Yarrowia lipolytica: one gene and its partner. Each later gene encodes a partner of the first gene's protein in a complex. Links are inferred from orthologs where the notes say so. Each region holds a gene or a part of one and is shown on either strand. Other genes may lie near its edges. The genes, in order: YALI1_E28033g and YALI1_B27293g.

Evidence for each region.
Region 2: the proteins of YALI1_E28033g (region 1) and YALI1_B27293g are in contact, whole or in part, in a crystal structure (PDB 4BSZ), measured with the Saccharomyces cerevisiae proteins. The link is inferred for Yarrowia lipolytica from reciprocal best matches to the Saccharomyces cerevisiae genes RPS3 and YAR1. Residues at the interface, in NP_014221.3 of Saccharomyces cerevisiae: Asp14, Gly15, Val16, Phe17, Tyr18, Ala19, Glu20, Asn22, Glu23, Thr26, Arg27, Ser35, Arg76, Arg94, Gln101, Ser104, Phe107, Lys108, Asn111, Gly112, Leu113, Arg117, Tyr120, Gly121, Val123, Arg124, Tyr125, Glu128, Ser129, Ile158; in NP_015085.1 of Saccharomyces cerevisiae: Arg21, Glu46, Glu48, Ser49, Met56, Ala59, Asn60, Asn90, Thr92, Asn94, Trp99, Leu102, Asn103, Phe121, Phe126, Gly127, His128, Asp129, Ile131, Phe132, Glu133, Glu135, Asn136, Gly138, Glu140, Glu141, Glu143, Thr144, Leu147, Lys148.

What each region holds. Positions count from the first base shown.
Region 1 is NC_090774.1:2,798,488-2,807,327, reverse strand, and holds YALI1_E28033g (40S ribosomal protein uS3), read left to right. Parts: upstream 1-4,037; coding exon 4,038-4,778; downstream 4,779-8,840. Other genes in the region: YALI1_E28070g (uncharacterized protein), read right to left, coding at 1-190, 263-265; YALI1_E28052g (uncharacterized protein), read right to left, coding at 1,584-1,747, 2,025-2,076; YALI1_E28046g (uncharacterized protein), read right to left, coding at 2,124-2,696; YALI1_E27997g (uncharacterized protein), read left to right, coding at 7,562-8,840. UniProt on the Saccharomyces cerevisiae protein: Component of the ribosome, a large ribonucleoprotein complex responsible for the synthesis of proteins in the cell.
Region 2 is NC_090771.1:2,724,255-2,733,084, forward strand, and holds YALI1_B27293g (uncharacterized protein), read left to right. Parts: upstream 1-5,109; coding exon 5,110-5,694; downstream 5,695-8,830. Other genes in the region: YALI1_B27254g (uncharacterized protein), read left to right, coding at 1,191-2,591; YALI1_B27280g (uncharacterized protein), read left to right, coding at 3,730-3,898, 3,947-4,671; YALI1_B27307g (uncharacterized protein), read right to left, coding at 6,114-6,516, 6,743-6,849; YALI1_B27320g (uncharacterized protein), read left to right, coding at 7,816-8,830. UniProt on the Saccharomyces cerevisiae protein: Required for normal rate of cell proliferation.

The DNA of each region.
Region 1 (8,840 bases):
GACATTGATTGCCATGATGTAATGATGTAACGATAACGATTATGATGTATGATCGGGGTGGGTGGATGTTAGTTTGGTGGGGTTGATATTGATACGAGATAGGCGTGTGATAGCTACTTGTACTTGAGATAGAACAAGTTGGGTGATTGGTCGATATGAGTTGATCAGGCTGTTGATAGGTTATCGGCATCTTGCGATGGGGTTGGCGATCGGCATCTCACGATAGAGTCTCTTATCCGCTATCGGTGCTAAAAGTGCATACCATGACTGAGTTGGAGACGGTCTGATAATGCACAAATAGCCGTGGGTAGCCGGTGTGGGATGTTTATGGGGTGATGGCGTGTCTCATATCGCTCGGTTGGAATGGCCTTATGATCATGAAGAGGATCGGAATGAGCAATGAGACATGGAGTGGTGGGATGGGGTTGTCAAAGGGTTCGATTCCGGCAGAAAAATCACCGTCGAAATCCGAGCTCGAGTAAGAGATAGTAGATCTGGATGAGCAGAGGAATGATAGGGTAGGAGATGATAGGGTAGGAGATGATATGGTAGGGAGATGATAGGGTAGGGAGATGATAGGGTAGGGAGAGGTGTAAGGCAGATCAGAGATACCAGGCGGATCAGAGTGATCAGACGGATCAGACAATACCAAAAGCCTGGTGTCAGATGATTATTGATACTGTTGATACTGTTGATACTGTTGATACTGTTGATATGGGTACTTGTATTACTCTACAGATGGGCTCTGAAGTGACTGATATTGAACTTCCTCTTCCAGAAAATGAAGTGGTGATCGGTTCTAGATCACGTGTTTACCAGTAACGTGTTTCCCTGGTCACGTGTCTGTTTGTCAGTGTCTCTACAGATGACGTTTAGATCATATCAGCTCAATCTCCCTATCATATCCTATCTTTCCTATCACAGCTCACGCCCTATCTTTGATCCACTTTCTGATCCTATCTCTCGCCGGCCTCCTTTCAGCCAATCAAGCCGTGTATCTAATCTCCACAAGCTGCGTGTTTTCCCCGTGTCTATCACCGGGGTCACAGTGGGCAATCTCCACCGTTAGGTTCGATGGGCGACGATCTTCCTGTGGGAGGTTGAGGGTCTAAAGCAGTGACCATTTTGGTAGATATGGAGGAAAATGCGGGGAAAAACGGGGAGGAGGGCCATTTAACAGCCGGTTTATTCATATTTTTCAAGTCCCCACCACCGCTACTGCCCACTACACGTTTCTATGGTCTATGACCACATCTGTCCTTATCGTTATCGACGCACGGCTCTGCACAGCCCTGCGATAAGAGCGGTTTTCAATTACTGTAGGTGTAATAACAAGAGAGCAGAGTGGAGGCGACATATATAAATATGTAACAGCAAGATGTATAGAATGTTACGTAGTGACAACAGCGACGGTAGCGACTGGTGATAGAGAGATGGCGGAAGGTGATAGGCTGGATAAGAGCAGGCATGGTGAGACACGATCGAGACAGTGTTGGAGAAGGCGATAACAATATCAGAAAGGAAGTGCCGGTCTGTACATCTGAGGAAGGGGAGAGTTGGTCTTGATTCGGTCCAGAAGTCACCTACTTGTAGTATTCACCAAGAGCGACATAGATGTAGTACAACACTCCAAGAGGATGATACCAGCGACAATGGGTGAAACTCTTAATCAAAAAAGTTGATTCTTCTGGTCTCCTTCTATCAAAGTGTTTCTGGAGCCACTTGGAGGCTCTTATGAGAGGCTGAGCTCAAGTCTTCCAACTTGTCTTATACCACAGTGACGGAGCACAAGTAGTTGGAACATGTTCAATTCAAGTACAATCAGTTGAAGCAGTCAGTCAGGACAAGCTGGGTTGTAGATAGCTCTCTTGTAGCAGTAGTGGTTGAAGTATCGACAACCGGGAGATGTGCTCCAACGATGAACTAGATCGCAGTATGAACACTTGCAGAACAACTACAGCCATACCAGCGTGAAAGACAATACAACGAGATCCGTACGACGGCGCTGTACTGGTACTACCTACTCTTGTATTCAACTACGGACACAGTCCTAATACACAACACGTTCACGTACATACCTCACTTTTACGCACAGAGCCCTGTACTATCCACTACCGGTAGGCCTACTTGGTCTTCTTGGACTCCTTGGACTCCTTCTTGTCCTTCTTTTCCTTCTTTTCCTCGTCGTCAAACTTCTTTTTGAGCTTGGCGTCCTCTCGCTCGGCCCACCACTGGCCCACCTGGAGCCCCAGCACGCCGAGAAGCACAAAGACAATCATGACCTGGGAGGCGGCAATGACGTTGATTCCCGTGTGTTCGTCCACGTCGCCCCAGTTGCCGTCCACGGCCGACGCCAGGCCCCGTCGGATGTTGGTCAGGTAGATGGTGACGCCAACCATGTACAGAAACAGCGAGCCGCCGTCAAACAGCTTGTTGGACTCGCTGGGCTTGTACAGCTTGATGAAGAAGCCAATCAGCCCCAGTCCGATCACCGTGTGGTGGATGTGGTACACAAACATGGGGCAGTCGTACCACGCCTTGTAGTGGTCCAGAGAGGCGGTGTATCGAGACTCCGGCGGAGCGGCCGTCCACAGAGTGAAGAAATCATAGGGCCAGTTGGAGTACAGAACGCCCAGAGAGAAGGACGTGGCGCACAGAATCAGCGCGGACGAAATGGAGGATGCAGATGTCGGCATGGTGGCGATAAATGTGTCTGGTCAGAGGTGCAAACACGTCTGTAGTGATGGTGTCAGCGTTTGTTAAACTTGACTGAACCTTATGACAGGAAGATTAGAGGGGGGGGGTAATGGGGGGGGGGGGTGAACTGGGACACCGGAATATGGGAAATGAGAATGGTGGGACAAAGGGCTATAAAAATCCAGACCTCAAATTACCTAAGCGGGTCATTTTTTCGGTCATTTTTTCGTGATTTTTTGCGATTTTTAGCCTCCATTCGGGGCCCCTTCAATATCACTCGTTTTCACAACTGTCTCAGGCCTGTCTCAGGTCCCTCCCAACTTATGGCAGGGCTGGACAACTCAACAACATTCTGGGGTTAGATCTGTGTCTGGGGGTTGGGGGAGGTTAATTTTTTTGCTAACGGCGCTTGTGGGGCTATACTTGATTACGTAACCGAGTTTTGGGCTTACTTTTGCCATCATCCCGGGGCCGTCTTGATGCGAGTTGATGCGAGTTGTCGCGAGTTGTTCCTATCTTCGGAGAGTTGCACACGGCCTCAAGGGGAGTTGCAAACGGCGTCATGTGGGTGTCATGGTGATGGTGGACGATAAAGGCAATAGAATGGTTATATTGGTGATTTGTGTCTAATTTAATCATTTCTAGCGTCCTCTAGCGTCCTCTAGCGTCCTCCAGCGTCTTCCAGCGCCCTACAAAGTCCCCCTTTCTTCCTCATTTTCAACAAAACTCCCAACTAATTCCCGTGAATTGTAATACACAGACGATGCAGTTGGCGGAGGCTATTTGGTAATGATCGAGTGAGAGAGTGCGAGTGAGAATGCGAGTACCTGTACTGGTAGCTCCGCTCCACCTGAGGGGTTTTTAATATTGTTTTTTTATGTGTTTTCGTTTTTATTTTTTTTTTTTTTTTTTTATTTTTATTTTTATTTTATTTTTATTATATTTATATTTTTGTAAGATCGCACAATTTAGACTAGGGTGACTTTCCTTACAATTTTACTTTACTTTACTTACCTTGTCTTAGATCTCGAATACCCATTTTACCATACAAACCTGACGGTTTTTATTTATTTATTTATTTTATTATTATTTTTGAGCACTTTCTGGATCAATACAGCCCAAAAACAACCAAAATTTCCCAATACAGCCAAACACAAGCTCACCATTACCGCACATCTCTAAATCGCACATTACATAAGCGTCCAAACCTCCCAATAAAGACTCAACACGTGACAGGGTTTAGCCCTAACTGGCAAAACAAGGTTCAGAATTTTCACGACTCACCTCCCAGCAGGCAAAATATCCCATTCTGCGCGAATCCATCCACACACACAACAGCAATGTCCTCCACTGTCACCATTTCCAAGAAGCGAAAGATCGTCGCCGACGGTGTTTTCTACGCCGAGCTCAACGAGTTCTTCACCCGAGAGCTCGCCGAGGAGGGATACTCCGGCGTCGAGGTCCGACTCACCCCCACCAAGACTGAGATTGTTGTCCGAGCCACCCACACCAACAAGGTCCTTGGTGAGAACGGCCGACGAATCCGAGAGCTCATGTCTCTGGTCCAGAAGCGATTCCGACTCCCCGAGGGATCCGTCACCATCTACGCTGAGCGAGTCCAGGAGCGAGGTCTGTCTGCCGTTGCCCAGTGCGAGTCCGTCAAGTACAAGCTGCTCAACGGTCTGGCCATCCGACGAGCCGCTTACGGTGTTGTCCGATACGTCATGGACGCCGGCGCCAAGGGTGTTGAGGTTGTTGTTTCCGGAAAGCTGCGAGCTGCCCGAGCCAAGTCCATGAAGTTTGCCGACGGTTTCATGATCCACTCCGGTCAGCCCGTCAACGACTTCATTGACACTGCCACCCGACACGTTCTGCTGCGACAGGGTGTGCTCGGTGTCAAGGTCAAGATCATGCGAGACCCCGCCACCTCCAAGAAGCCCGGTGTGCCCAAGTCTCTGCCCGATGCCGTCACCATCTTCGAGCCCAAGGAGGATGCTGTTGTTGCCGAGCCCATGGTCAAGTCTTACGTTGTCAAGACTGAGGTTGCTGCTCCCGCTGCTGCCGAGCCCGTTGAGGCTTAAGTCTGATTAGGCAAATAGTCAAAATAAAATTATTCGTTAATCCGCCATGATGGATTGTAGTGAGTCTGTACTATAGAAGTACAAGTACAGAATGCGAGACAGCGCGCCCACTGTCGCGATTGTCACGTCGGACCAACAGCGACGTCAGACATGTCTTAATTAGCCCGGTGCGTCCTTTGAGAACCACATGTTGAGCGGTAGAAGACAGCAGCGGTCTGGAAACGATACCTAGATGATGCCCTAGATGATGCCCTAGATGATGCCCTAGATGATACCGTCAAGCTGTGGAAACGACAAAGTCGGTTATAATGAGGTCTTTCCAGTGACCAATGACAAATTTCTGACCCGCTGATTCGTTCACTGTTGCTGTACGCAGGGTGGGCTGTTGTATGTATGTCATACTGTAGGCACTGTGCGATGTTTCAGATTTAGTTGACATTTAGTTGACAAGGAAAGTCCGCTGGGGGTCCATTTCTCGGGCTCCAGACATTCCACAGCGTTTTATAGTATGTCATTCAACGGAGAAGATGTCGTTCAATAACAAATATGTACTGATCTTCTACTCGCATAATACTATTATCCAGGAGCCATCGACATTTCAATATATTTTTCCAAGTGTTGTTTGTTGGATATTACTTAAGAGCCCGAACTGGGAAAATAATAGATGATAAATCCAACTGTAGACACACCAGGACAATTGACGGTGCAATTTGCTGCTGTAATCAACTCGTTTGGCACGTCTGAAGCCTGTCAACTTGCGATATATGGCACTTCACGAGGCCATCTCAGCCGTCCTACAATACAACTTGACGACCCACAGATCCGCTGTTTGAAGTACTCTTCTGATTCCTGCAATACCCAGATCCACTAAACTGACCATAAGGGATTCCAATAGTCTCTCAGATTTCCGATATTTCCATTTTGGCCGACTTTACATTGTTCTCATGCCCACAGATCTGTATAGTCTGCCGGATGATTCAGAATGGACAGGGGCGTATCCTTTCTGGGACAAGTGCAATCGTTCACTTGACGAGATTCAGAGATTCAGAGATTCAGAGATTCAGAGACTCCAACCACTCCAATCGCCCCAATTGAAAGCTCATCCCGAGGGTCTGAAAGCAGAATGTCGTAGTAAAAGAGTACAGTTGAAGAGTACAGTATGTAGAAGAGACAGTAGAAGAGACAGTAGAAGAGTACAATAGGAAGTACAACGCGGGTCCTGATCGTGACTACAGTCAGACCGGATCTCAATAGGTACTGTAGTTGGATAGGGAACGGCTGGAGTAGTTGGACTATGTTTGCAACGGAGACTGTCTGAATGGAGTGTTGGTTAGATAGAGTGGGAGGTGGAATGATATGACATCTACAGTATGTAGTAGCTACAGTACACGGTATCTGCCGTCTAGGATATCCTCTAGGCTTCGAATCTCACACAGCATCTAATCTAGTCCACGTTTACTCGACTGCGACAACAGGAATTGACAGAATCAGAATGACACTAGAGAGTAATATTGAAAGGATGAATAGATGGATGGTACTTTCTTACAGAGACTTTATGCTGAACCGCTCTTCCGATCTCGGTCAGCTTCATAAAAGAGATGAGAAACACAACAAGTGAAGCCAGGCTGTCCCAGTCAGTCATGGATCTCATGAACCTCACTCCTTACTGCTCTGAACCATCACCAATGCGCCAATCACCCCAGCTGACCACTTGGGGATCGTCATTACCATGTGGGCACTCCTGGAGGATCTACCACATACACCACCACCACGGACGTTAGCTCTAGCGAGCCTGTGAATCCCACAACCTCTGTACCCAGATGGAGCTCTCCCTATGACTACGCCCGGAACTACTCCCCTGACCACCACCGATTCAACGGAAACCCTTCCAAGACCACAGTTACCACAGATTACTGTCCTCCTACTGTGACTGTGAGGAAGAGTACACCACCATCTCCGTCATTCTCGCTACCCATGTACCTCCAACCCTTTGTTCGTCCACACTGTCACCATCTCTTCCAAGACCTCACTCTAATCGGCCCCGGAGACACCCTTCAGCCTCAGAAGTCGACTCCTATGCCCGACCCTGAGCTGCCTACACCACCCCTGACGTTCCTGAGCCCAACCCACTCTCCCGAGATTGACCTGAGGCCATAGACTCCAGATTACTGCGATAGGTCCATTGTGGCAACAGCAACGACATTGTCACTTCCACTTCTTGATTCGCTCTTGAACTGCTCCAACTGGCTCTTTCTGTCCATGTTTATTTATTTATTTTATATTTCATTATTTATTATTTATTAAATATTTATTTAAATCTTATTTAATTTATTTAACTACACTCAAATGTCCCACAGCGCCAGTGGTGATGTCCTGCCACCTAAATAGCATCTCACACAAACATAGCTTCTTACCCACAGAGTGTCACAGTGCACTCCACAAGCACCCATCTTCTTCGCTACAAGTGTCAGTTGCTTCACAGATACCAAAGCTGAACTGCCAGATTCGACGAACGATACCCGATCCAGACACGATCCAGATACGACCCAGACACGATATCAGATCTCATCATTGTCTTGACACAGACTCAGAGACACCTACGAGACGACACAGACACGAAGACGACAGATAGATACCACAGGTGGAGACCATAGGTGGAGAGCAAGGCAGATATCTCGACGACACAAACGGATACCTTTAGTAAATATCTCACTAATCGATACTACCAGACCTTATCTCCACATACCAACTACCGGCGACACCCAACTGCTCTGGCGGTTGACATGATCGGGTTCTGTGACCCTGCCCCAGAAGACTCGTACTCCACCGAGTCGTCGTCATCGTCCACCAGTTCCGAAACCTTTGCTGACTTTGTGCAGCACCTTCTCATCCCTCCGGATATCCGTCGAGACGACTCCAACCTATTCTCCAATCTCGAGTTTACAGAAGAAGAGCTCCACCGCATTCTCATGCTCAACATTGAGCGCGTGGAGAGCCAAGCTCTGGAGGCAACTCCGTATGCAACCAAGGGCATCCCCTGGAGCACATTCAAGCCCCGGCAGGAGAAAAACATGACCTTTGCTTCCAAGGTCGGCCGGTGGCTCAAGTCGCTGCCCATGCATCCTCGCATCCTCATGAGTCCTCAGGTCTACTTCCCCCAGAAGGTGAAGCGCAATCACTTCCAGCAGGAGCTGCACGAACAGCTGTTCGAGGTGTGTTCGGTCGAGGACTCGGATGACGATGGCAGCAGCCAATGCGACGACATCAAGGATATGGGCTACGAGCAGGAAAACCCAAAGTACGGCTACTGGAACGACATCAACATGAGTCCGTTCCCTGTATCCTGGATCCCCCCTTCAGCTCTGTCTTCTCCACACGTCCAGCTGTGCATCGACCAAATGGAGCCCATGGAAAATATTGGCATGTGCAAGATCATGCTATCGACTTCCGAGTTGCTCATGCTGCGCAATGAGTCTGCGCCTGGTGCATGTGTGGGGTCTTCCTACCCTCTGTATCCTCATGCTACAGATTTTGTCGAGGACGAGATGTACGATCTCAAGTCAAGAATATACACATACAATGTGCTGTATCACGCGCGTCTGGAGAGCATGATTGGGGAGCCAGTTCGTTCTCCAGCCACAGAGCCCCCATTGCGTTCGGACACGGAGTTTCATATTCGCAACATGAGTTTGGCGGACGTGGGTCTTGTCGCCTCGGCTCCCGCGTCTCTTGTTGTCTCCAACTACCTCCCCTACGTCTGCAGGGGTTTACCGAGGGAAAACGAGATATGGGGGAGGCGTAGTTCTTCGTCCGTGCATTCCAGAGATTTATCTGTGTCCACTTCTGAACTGAGTGACATCACAAACATTGCCGACATTGCCAGCATTGCCAACCGACCTACGTCGTCGAAACTGCCGTGTCCCATTGGCTTGGGCTCTCCATTTCGGTCCTCTCGGTCCAGACACCATTTCCGCCGCCCGTTTGCTGGCTACGCTTCTCGCCGGGCTCGAACAGGGTTTGGTGATGTAGACGGTCCTGGCCCCAAGAAGGTCAGGGTGGACG
Region 2 (8,830 bases), on another chromosome or scaffold:
GGGTTTGGAGGTTTTGAGATACCATTATCGCAGTTGTGGATTGGGCATAAGTATATTAAAAAGCTGTACGTACATATATAAGTATTGCTGCTGATGTTGTTTGGTGACAATGTACGCGCGAGTACCGGTAGCAACCAGACAATAGTTGCGTCTGGTGGTATTGTTTTGTCTTGTGTTTCAGAGGTATACAACGCTTCTTCATATCACTCAGCAACCAGCTCCATATAAATGCCGCCCAGTCCCCATGGAACCCACATAAAACCCGCCGATCACTTTTTAGACTAATTACCTAGCTACACTACTCTGAGCCTGTCTATGTTGTATTTGGACCGAATACTTCCCAACTGGTAGCCTCGTTTGCGATGCGAGCCCTTTATGGCTCTCCCTGGCTCGGGTTCCTTGTACTCGTACCTGTGGCTCGTAACATCTCTCGATCATTGTCCTAACCCTGTGTCCCAACCTGGCAACCTACAAATAGCTGTATGGGAGCCATACAAACACTCACGGCTTTTTCTGTGTGCACTGTAAGCTCGCTGTAAGCTCGAAGCTGGACTTGCTATGCAAGGGGCAGTGTTCGATCGAATCAGTGAAGAAAGATAAGGGATTCCTGTAAGTAATAGGTTAAGTACCAATGGCTCAAATAGTTGGAAATTAGTTGGGGTTCTGATAAAGACAACATCTCGAAAAGTATACCAATCTGTAAAGATAGTGACAGACAGTACACTTAGACGAATCACCTCTCGTTATTGTCTTATTTTAGCCCTCAAAATCGACCCTACCTCCCTCCCCAGCATCACCGACATCAAGCCGGTGTCTGACTAAGACAATTACACTTTTGGTGGGAGACGCACTCGATTTCTCAGAACGCATCACTTGACATCACTTTTAGAACCCAAAGGAAAACATGAACCGTCATTTTCACCGTTGAAATTTCGGGGTTAAAGAAGTGTACAGAAAATCCATACGGAGGGCTAAACGACCAACGTAAAGATGAATAGAATGGCGGAAATGGAAATCCTCAAAATAAAAATGTGGGAATACTCGCCACCCAAGCTGCCTTATAACACCCAAGTCCACTGGCTCTCGTCAGTGGCAAATGTCACTCCACATTACCGCCTTGTAGAAGTCTGTAGGCCCCGAAACAAAGTATATTAGATTTTCCACTGCACATTGACTCTTCATCATCCACAATGCACAGTCTACTGCGAGCAGCCCAGATTGCACGGGTGGCACGTCCCGGTGTCAAGCGGGCCATGACCCCCGCCGTGCGATTCTACTCGGACAAAAAAACCGAGAAATCCGACCAACCGTTCCAGAGCTCTTTGCTGAACGACGATTTGCTGGCCCAGGCCGGTATGGACGTTGATGAGTCCAAGGGCAAGAGCAAGCCTGCTGCTGAGGGCAAGTCCGAGGGTGCTGCCGAGGGAGCTACTGAGGACGATGTCACAGACGAGCAGCGAGCCCGATGGGCCGGAACTGCCAAGAAGTCCACCGACCAGACCTCCAAGCAGGAGTCTCGAGAGCGAATTGCCGGCTACGGATACTACGCCTTCTTTGCTGGATCAGCAGCTTTCGCCGCCTACCTGGCCCGAGACTGGGACAATGAGGAGGACAAGAAGAAGCATGATACCATTGGCCAGGGATACACCCCCATGCTCATGTGGGCCCGTCTCAAGGCTCGAATCGGAGACACCTTTTCCTTCTACCGAGACCCCGTGGCTCCCGTTCTTCTCCCCGATCCCCCTGCTCCCCCGTACCAGCGACCTTTGACGCTTGTTATTGCCCTCGACGATCTGCTTGTCCACCAGGAGTGGAGCAGAGAGCATGGCTGGCGAGTGGCAAAGCGACCTGGCGTTGACTACTTCCTGGGCTACCTCGGCCAGTACTATGAGATTGTTCTTTTCTCTTCTCAGTACATGGCCAACTGCGAGAAGCTCATCATGAAGCTTGATCCCTACCACGCCTGGTTCTCCCACGTTCTGACCCGAGAGCACACCACTTACGAGGACGGTAAGCTGGTCAAGGACCTGTCTCTGATGAACCGAGATATGGGCAAGATCATCATCATCGACCCCGATACCGGATGCACCATGAAGCAGCCCGAGAACTCCATCCCCATCGAGCCCTGGAAGGGAACTCCCGGCGACAAGGAGCTGGTCAAGTTGATCCCCTTCCTGGAATGGCTGGTGTCTCAGAACGTGAACGACGTTCGACCCATTCTTAAGGCCTTTGATGGCACCTATCTGCCTGACGAGTTCACCCGACGAGAGGCCATTGCCCGAGAAAAGTTCGAAAAGGACTGGTACGCCAAGCACGGAAAGGACGGCCAGTGGGCCTCCAAGTTCCTGGGTGTCTCCGAGCCCAAGCAGCAGAAGCCTCTGATGCCCCACGACGTGATGCGACGAGAGGGCCAGAAGCAGTACCAGAAGTTCCTGGAGTACCTGGCCGTTGAGGGCCCCAAGCTCAAGGCCGAGGAGGAGCGAATGATTGCTGAGCAGAAGGCTATGGGACCTAAGAACCTGTCGGAGGCTGTCTCCAGCATTGGTTCTCTACCTCCTGTGCCCCAGCAGCCCACTGAGCCCAAAGCTTAGATGTATATAGTATGAGTTAACGTGGCACGATGAGTGATAGAGCCATGAGCGAGCCATGTGTGAGCCATGTGTGAAGCGAATGGTGAAGCGAATGACAACGCGATTGGATAAATGTAGCTGCTGTAGCCGTAGTCCGGGCCTATTCAATCGCTGGCTGAGAACTGTTAGTCACTGCCCCTTCTTCGCTACAAACTGTCTGATGTATGTCTGTTGCACAAGCGCATATATATATCCCGTGTCTGGTGAAGGGAAAGGACGACGGCTGGGGGAAACACAAATATATATCAAACGCGATGTGCACTTTTCATATCAACGACTTGCTGTTATCTTGAGATGAGCCAGATTGACTCTGATCTGTTACCCTGATAACGACGCACCCAGTTTATTTATATCTTCAGTATGCATTGATACGAGCTGCCTCGGTATGAGCCCTGGTATCTCTTTCATCAGACTATAAGTACACACCAAGTTTTTTCCGAAGTTGATGAACATACAAGTATTAGTATGAGTACATTATTCTGGAAGAGTGGCGACGAAACTGTAGTCTCGTTCTTCTGACTTTTCTCGCTTACAGTCCTGAGCCGGCTGAACAGGGCTGAGTTTAGATCCTCCTCATGTCTTAAACTCGTACGTCACATGGTGAGTTATATATAATGGACGATGATGGGCGATGTGAATGAGTAGAACAAAAGTAGTGAGAGGTGTTTAAACAGAACGTGCAAAGCTTCCAGCTGTTCCCTCTCACTTGTCATGCTCTTCTCAAGCAACCCTGTCTTAGCTATTCCCGCATCACTCATCTTAAATGTGTCCGGAGATAAGTAAGCTTCAGCTGCCTGTACAGTTTGCGAGTCCCAAACTATCCAGGCGATAATAATAGTTCTCCATGAGTACATTACCGCGGGTATCTGAGGTTGCTTTTGGGGTGTCATTCTGTAACAGTCTCATCTTTTTATATTGCTCAATGCAAAAATCGCATTTCCAGGTCTCTGTGGGGCCCACCACTTGTCGAAACAGGTGTTGTTATGATGTCGGATTTTCATTTACCCTACTCACGTGACGCCCAAGACATGTAGTACAGAGACTTTAATCAGACTGAACCATCAACAGCTCTGCGAACTTGCCTTCTTACGACCCCACAATGGCCCAGTTCCCGCTGTTTCAGAAATTCCAAAAGGCGATACAGCACCCGCCGGCCCTGTCGCTTGGGCTGCCCATTTTTCTGACCGTCATTTTCCTGTTGTCCCAGCGATATGTGTGGATTGAGGACGACCTGGAGCTGCGAAGCACCGCCCTGACCAATTTCGAACGTGAGTACACCGCAACAACACACCACTATTTTCCCCCTCGCTAACTAGTCAACCGAATCTCATTCTACCCCCTGGTCCATGCCACCTGGTTCCATCTGCTGCTCAATCTTGTGGCGCTACAGCCCATTGTGTCGCAGTTTGAGCGAGTCAATGGAACTGTGCGAACCGGAATCGTGCTCAACATTCTCGCTGTTGTCACTGCCATTCCCTGGTGTCTGTTGTCTATCGGCTTCTTCCCCGATGAGGCTGTCCTGGGCTCCTCCGCCTGGATCTTCTCCTTCATGGGATACTGGGCCATCCGGGAGTCCTCCAAGCAGCCTACCACCCAGCTGGCCCCCAACCTCGTGGTGCCCACTTGGCTTCTACCCATCATCTACCTGGTTGTCATTGCCATTGTCATCCCCAGCTCTTCCTTCATTGGCCATCTGCTGGGACTGATTGCTGGCTGGATGATGGCTCTGGGCTACCTGGACGTACTCATTGAGCCTTCGTCCAAGGTGGTGCTCTGGATCGAGAACAAGATCTCCAGAGTCATTGACCTGATCCCCTCGTCCATCGTCACTTTCTACCGAGAAGAGGGCGCTTTGGACACTCGAGCTGCCGCTCGAGCAGACACCAACCGGTCCCTGTCCGTGTCTGGCGGCAACTTCCTGGGCTTCCAGGCCAACTCCAGCCAGGCCGATCTCGAGGCCGGTACCCGGTCTCGAGGCAACAGCAGCGTTGACCCCACCACTTCTTTCCCTGGAACGGGCCAGACTCTTGGTACCCAGTAAAGGACGATACCAAAATGAACGTAGAACATGTAAACATGTAATGAGCCATGACCTTTTAAGTGAGTTACAGGTGTAGGGTGTTTGTGCGACTGGTGTAATACATGTACACAAGAAATATAGTGCCCTGTATCGTAGATTGACTACTGAAGATCCCAGGGTGGATGGATGATGTACATACCAGCTACACTTTGTAGTATCGATATGAAGCTGGGAACGCACAGTGGGACTATCACGATGACAAAAACTTGAAACCATGCAATTAATTATGTGTACTCAATCGTTCGTCTTCACAATCTACCTCTGTATCGTTCTCTCTCTCTATGATCGTTGCCCCCTTCATCTCAGAATCAAAGTTCGGGATATGCATGTCAGAAATTTTTCTGTTATCTCGCAACTACACCTGCACATTCCCCAGAGGACATTATTGGACCAGCTAACATGTTGACAGAAGACCAGATTGACGACGTCATGTTCGACGCCCGAGGAGGCGAGCTCGAAAGCATTGAAAAGTTCTTCTCCGCTCAGGACAAGCCCCTTGAGACCCTCAAAGAGGTCAAGGACCAGTACACAGAATCCACCCCTCTGCACTATGCCGCTGCCAACGGTCACATTGACGTTGTCAAGTATCTGCTTGGTTTGGTTGCAGAGGATGCCGAAGCCCAGGCCGCTCTCATTTCCGCCCAGAACGACTCGGGCAACACAGCTCTGCATTGGGCAGCATTAAACGGAAACCTGGACATTGTCAAGCTGCTGTGTGAGGCCAAGGCCGATCCCTTCGTCAAGAACCAGAGTGGACAAGATGTGCTTTACGCCGCCGAGAACTTTGACAAGGAGGATGTCATTGACTACCTGCTGGAGAACTATGATTATGCACCCAAGGAGGATGAGAACATCAAGATTCGATATGAGGATGAGGCTGACGAGGCTAACGAGACTGACGAGGCTGACGAGGCAAAGGAGGAGACCGCTGAGGATAAGGAGACTGAGGAGGTTACTGACACCCTCAAGACCACTTCTGTTTAAGCACATAAAAGGATATTTAATAGATTGTATGATTGATAGAGTTGTGTGTGTGAATGTGCTTGGTAGTTGATGTGTTGTTGACTCATGGACCTTGTGCCTAACGGCAGTAGAATGAGCACAGTATTGCACATTACTGTAAGGCTGGAGTCGGCGTATCACTTCTTTCATCGTAATCACATACTTGAGCGAGTACAAGTAGCTACTGTACTTGTAGATCATTGAAGTGAGCTCAGGCAGACATGCAAATGCTTCCAAACAATTAACCGCAACTGCACCACTTTCAGTTGACACTGCTGGTTTTCAGCTACTCTTTTATAGTAGTCACCTCTGTTTACAACACCATCAAACTCGTTAATCTATTGTACTCGATAATATCACTCCTTGACGCACTCAACCTCTAGTAACGTCCCATGCACTACCTATAATCCCAAGGCCTTTCGAACAGTTCCTCGGACAATCTTGACAAACTGTTCCTGGTCGTCTCGCCACATTTTGCTGGCGTCAATGTTGGCCCCTGACTCGTCGTTGGGCTCGGCTAGCATGCTCATCACCGACAGCAGAATCTTGTCTACCGACTGGATGGGCGACCACCGTTCCGAAGCGCTCTCATACATGTTGGGATCGTCACCAGGAGCATGCAAAATGGAAATACACACGGTTCCGTCCTTGTAAATGTTGGGGTGGTACATTTCGCAGGTGAACTTCATCACTGGAGGGGACAGGGGGTAATCCTGGGGGAATTTGAGTGTTGCGGGGAACAGGCCACCCTCGTACGGAGTATCATCTGGTCCCTGTATCAGACATTCCCAGAGTAGAAAGTTACTGTGTTAGTGGAGTTGTGGCATGATTGTGGATTGTAACCGGGTATCATAAGCACAAGGAAACAGCATGACATATTACTGGACAAATGTGTAATCAAACTGACTGGATGAAGTCGATGTTTGTTTGGCCCCGAAAATGGACCGTAACAATATTATCGTCTTTCCGGACACCGCATGAAACACACCATGTCAGCCTGAATGTGATTGTGTCTCCCCACTTCACTCACTCTTCGTCAGCAGGACCTGCACTGATTCCCTGGGGAGGATCACTAATGAACTGCTTGTACTCCTTCATGAGCCGCTTCTGGGCCACAGATGGTCGCTTGCCCGACATGGTGTATGGTATTTTTGGTTGTGTGTGCTGGTGAGACGTTGATTGATCTGGGGATGCGTGCTTAATGTTGTCGCGTGTACTTGGCGGCTTAGTCAGCTAGTATCAATGCACCCGAATATTGCCCAATTGAACAATCGATTTCACTTCGGATTAGCCTTATTTGAGTCATGTGACGTCCATAGTGTCCAGTATTCCATTTCCGATTTTTCCCCCCTGTTCTCATTTGATTTCCGGCGCACACCCAAAGCATGCTCGTAGTCATAGATCATGATAACCCTATTGCCCCTGTTCAGCCTTAGAGGAAGCGATTACTTGTGAATACTGGTACAAGCGCGATACTTGTGCTTACATGCTGGTGTTTGTCTATGGTTGACCGCTTCAATAATTTTGAGGCTTCCTTTCTATGCATGTGGCTACCCCGCTCCATAAATCTGTGCTCATCGTAATATTACAATCCTGCCATAACTGTGCCACTCGCTTAATGCCAGTGCCAACCCCTTGCTACAATACGTTGAGTTGAGGATAAGTACTTGAAAGGTGGGTTTCACACGTGACTTTTTCCTTCTTTTGCTCCTTGCAAGAACACCCACCTTTTTGCTGCATAACTCTGTTGGCTGTGATCAATGGGCAAAAAAAAAAGCATGCCTTTGATTGGTACAATTGAGTGGGGGATCGTTGTAATTTGACGTGGCCCGGCAGTTTGGGACACACATAAGCCATAGTACGCACCACAATGCCGCATTTAACCGGTCAAAAAGGGCCATATAATTACGTTGGGGCGACGAGGGGCGTTCGTGGCCCATATGCCGATTAGTGAGTTTCGCTCAAAGTTCGCATATATAGGGCTAGGGTAGGCCGTGTGGAAAAATTTTTATTAGGTATTTCAGTTTTGGGTCTTCAACTCTTGAACACATATACATTTGTGCAACAAGGTATATTTGATAAAAAACACCAATTGAAAACAAAATGGCCGACGGACTCACCGACATCGATTCTTCCCAGATCACCACCAACTACGACGAGGTTGTTACCTCTTTCGACGACCTTGGACTCAAGGACGAGCTGCTCCGAGGTATCTACGGTTACGGTTTTGAGAACCCTTCCTCCATTCAGCAGCGAGCCATCCTGCCCGTCATCAAGGGTAACGATGTCCTTGCCCAGGCCCAGTCTGGTACTGGTAAGACTGCCACCTTCTCTATCTCTGCTCTGCAGAACATTGACGAGAAGATTAAGAAGCCCCAGGCTCTGATCATTGCCCCCACTCGAGAGCTGGCCCACCAGATCCAGAAGGTTGTCCTTGCCTTTGGCGAGTACATGAAGATTGAGTGCCACGCCTGCATTGGTGGTACCTCCGTCGCCGAGGACATCCGAGTCATCCAGGAGGGTGTCCACGTCATTGTCGGAACCCCCGGTCGAATCCACGATATGATTGAGCGACGAATCCTCAAGACCGACCTCATCAAGATGTTCATCCTTGATGAGGCCGATGAGATGCTTTCTCGAGAGTTCAAGGACCCCATCTACGATATCTTCACCACCCTCCCCGAGACCACCCAGACCGTTCTGCTGTCTGCCACCATGCCCGCTGAGGTCCTCGACATCACCGGCAAGTTCATGCGAGACCCCGTCCGAATTCTTGTCAAGAAGGATGAGCTGACCCTTGAAGGTATCAAGCAGTTCTACATTGATGTTGAGCAGGAGTCCTACAAGTTTGAGGTTCTGTGCGATCTCTACGAGACCATCAACGTTTCTCAGGCCGTCATTTTCTGCAACACCCGACGAAAGGTCGACTACCTGACCCAGGCTCTGACCGAGGCTGACTTCACCGTCTCCTCCATGCACGGTGAGACCGAGCAGTCTCAGCGAGATGTCATTATGAAGGCTTTCCGAACCGGTTCTTCTCGAATCCTCATCACTACCGATCTGCTTGCCCGAGGTATCGATGTCCAGCAGGTTTCTCTGGTCATCAACTTCGACCTGC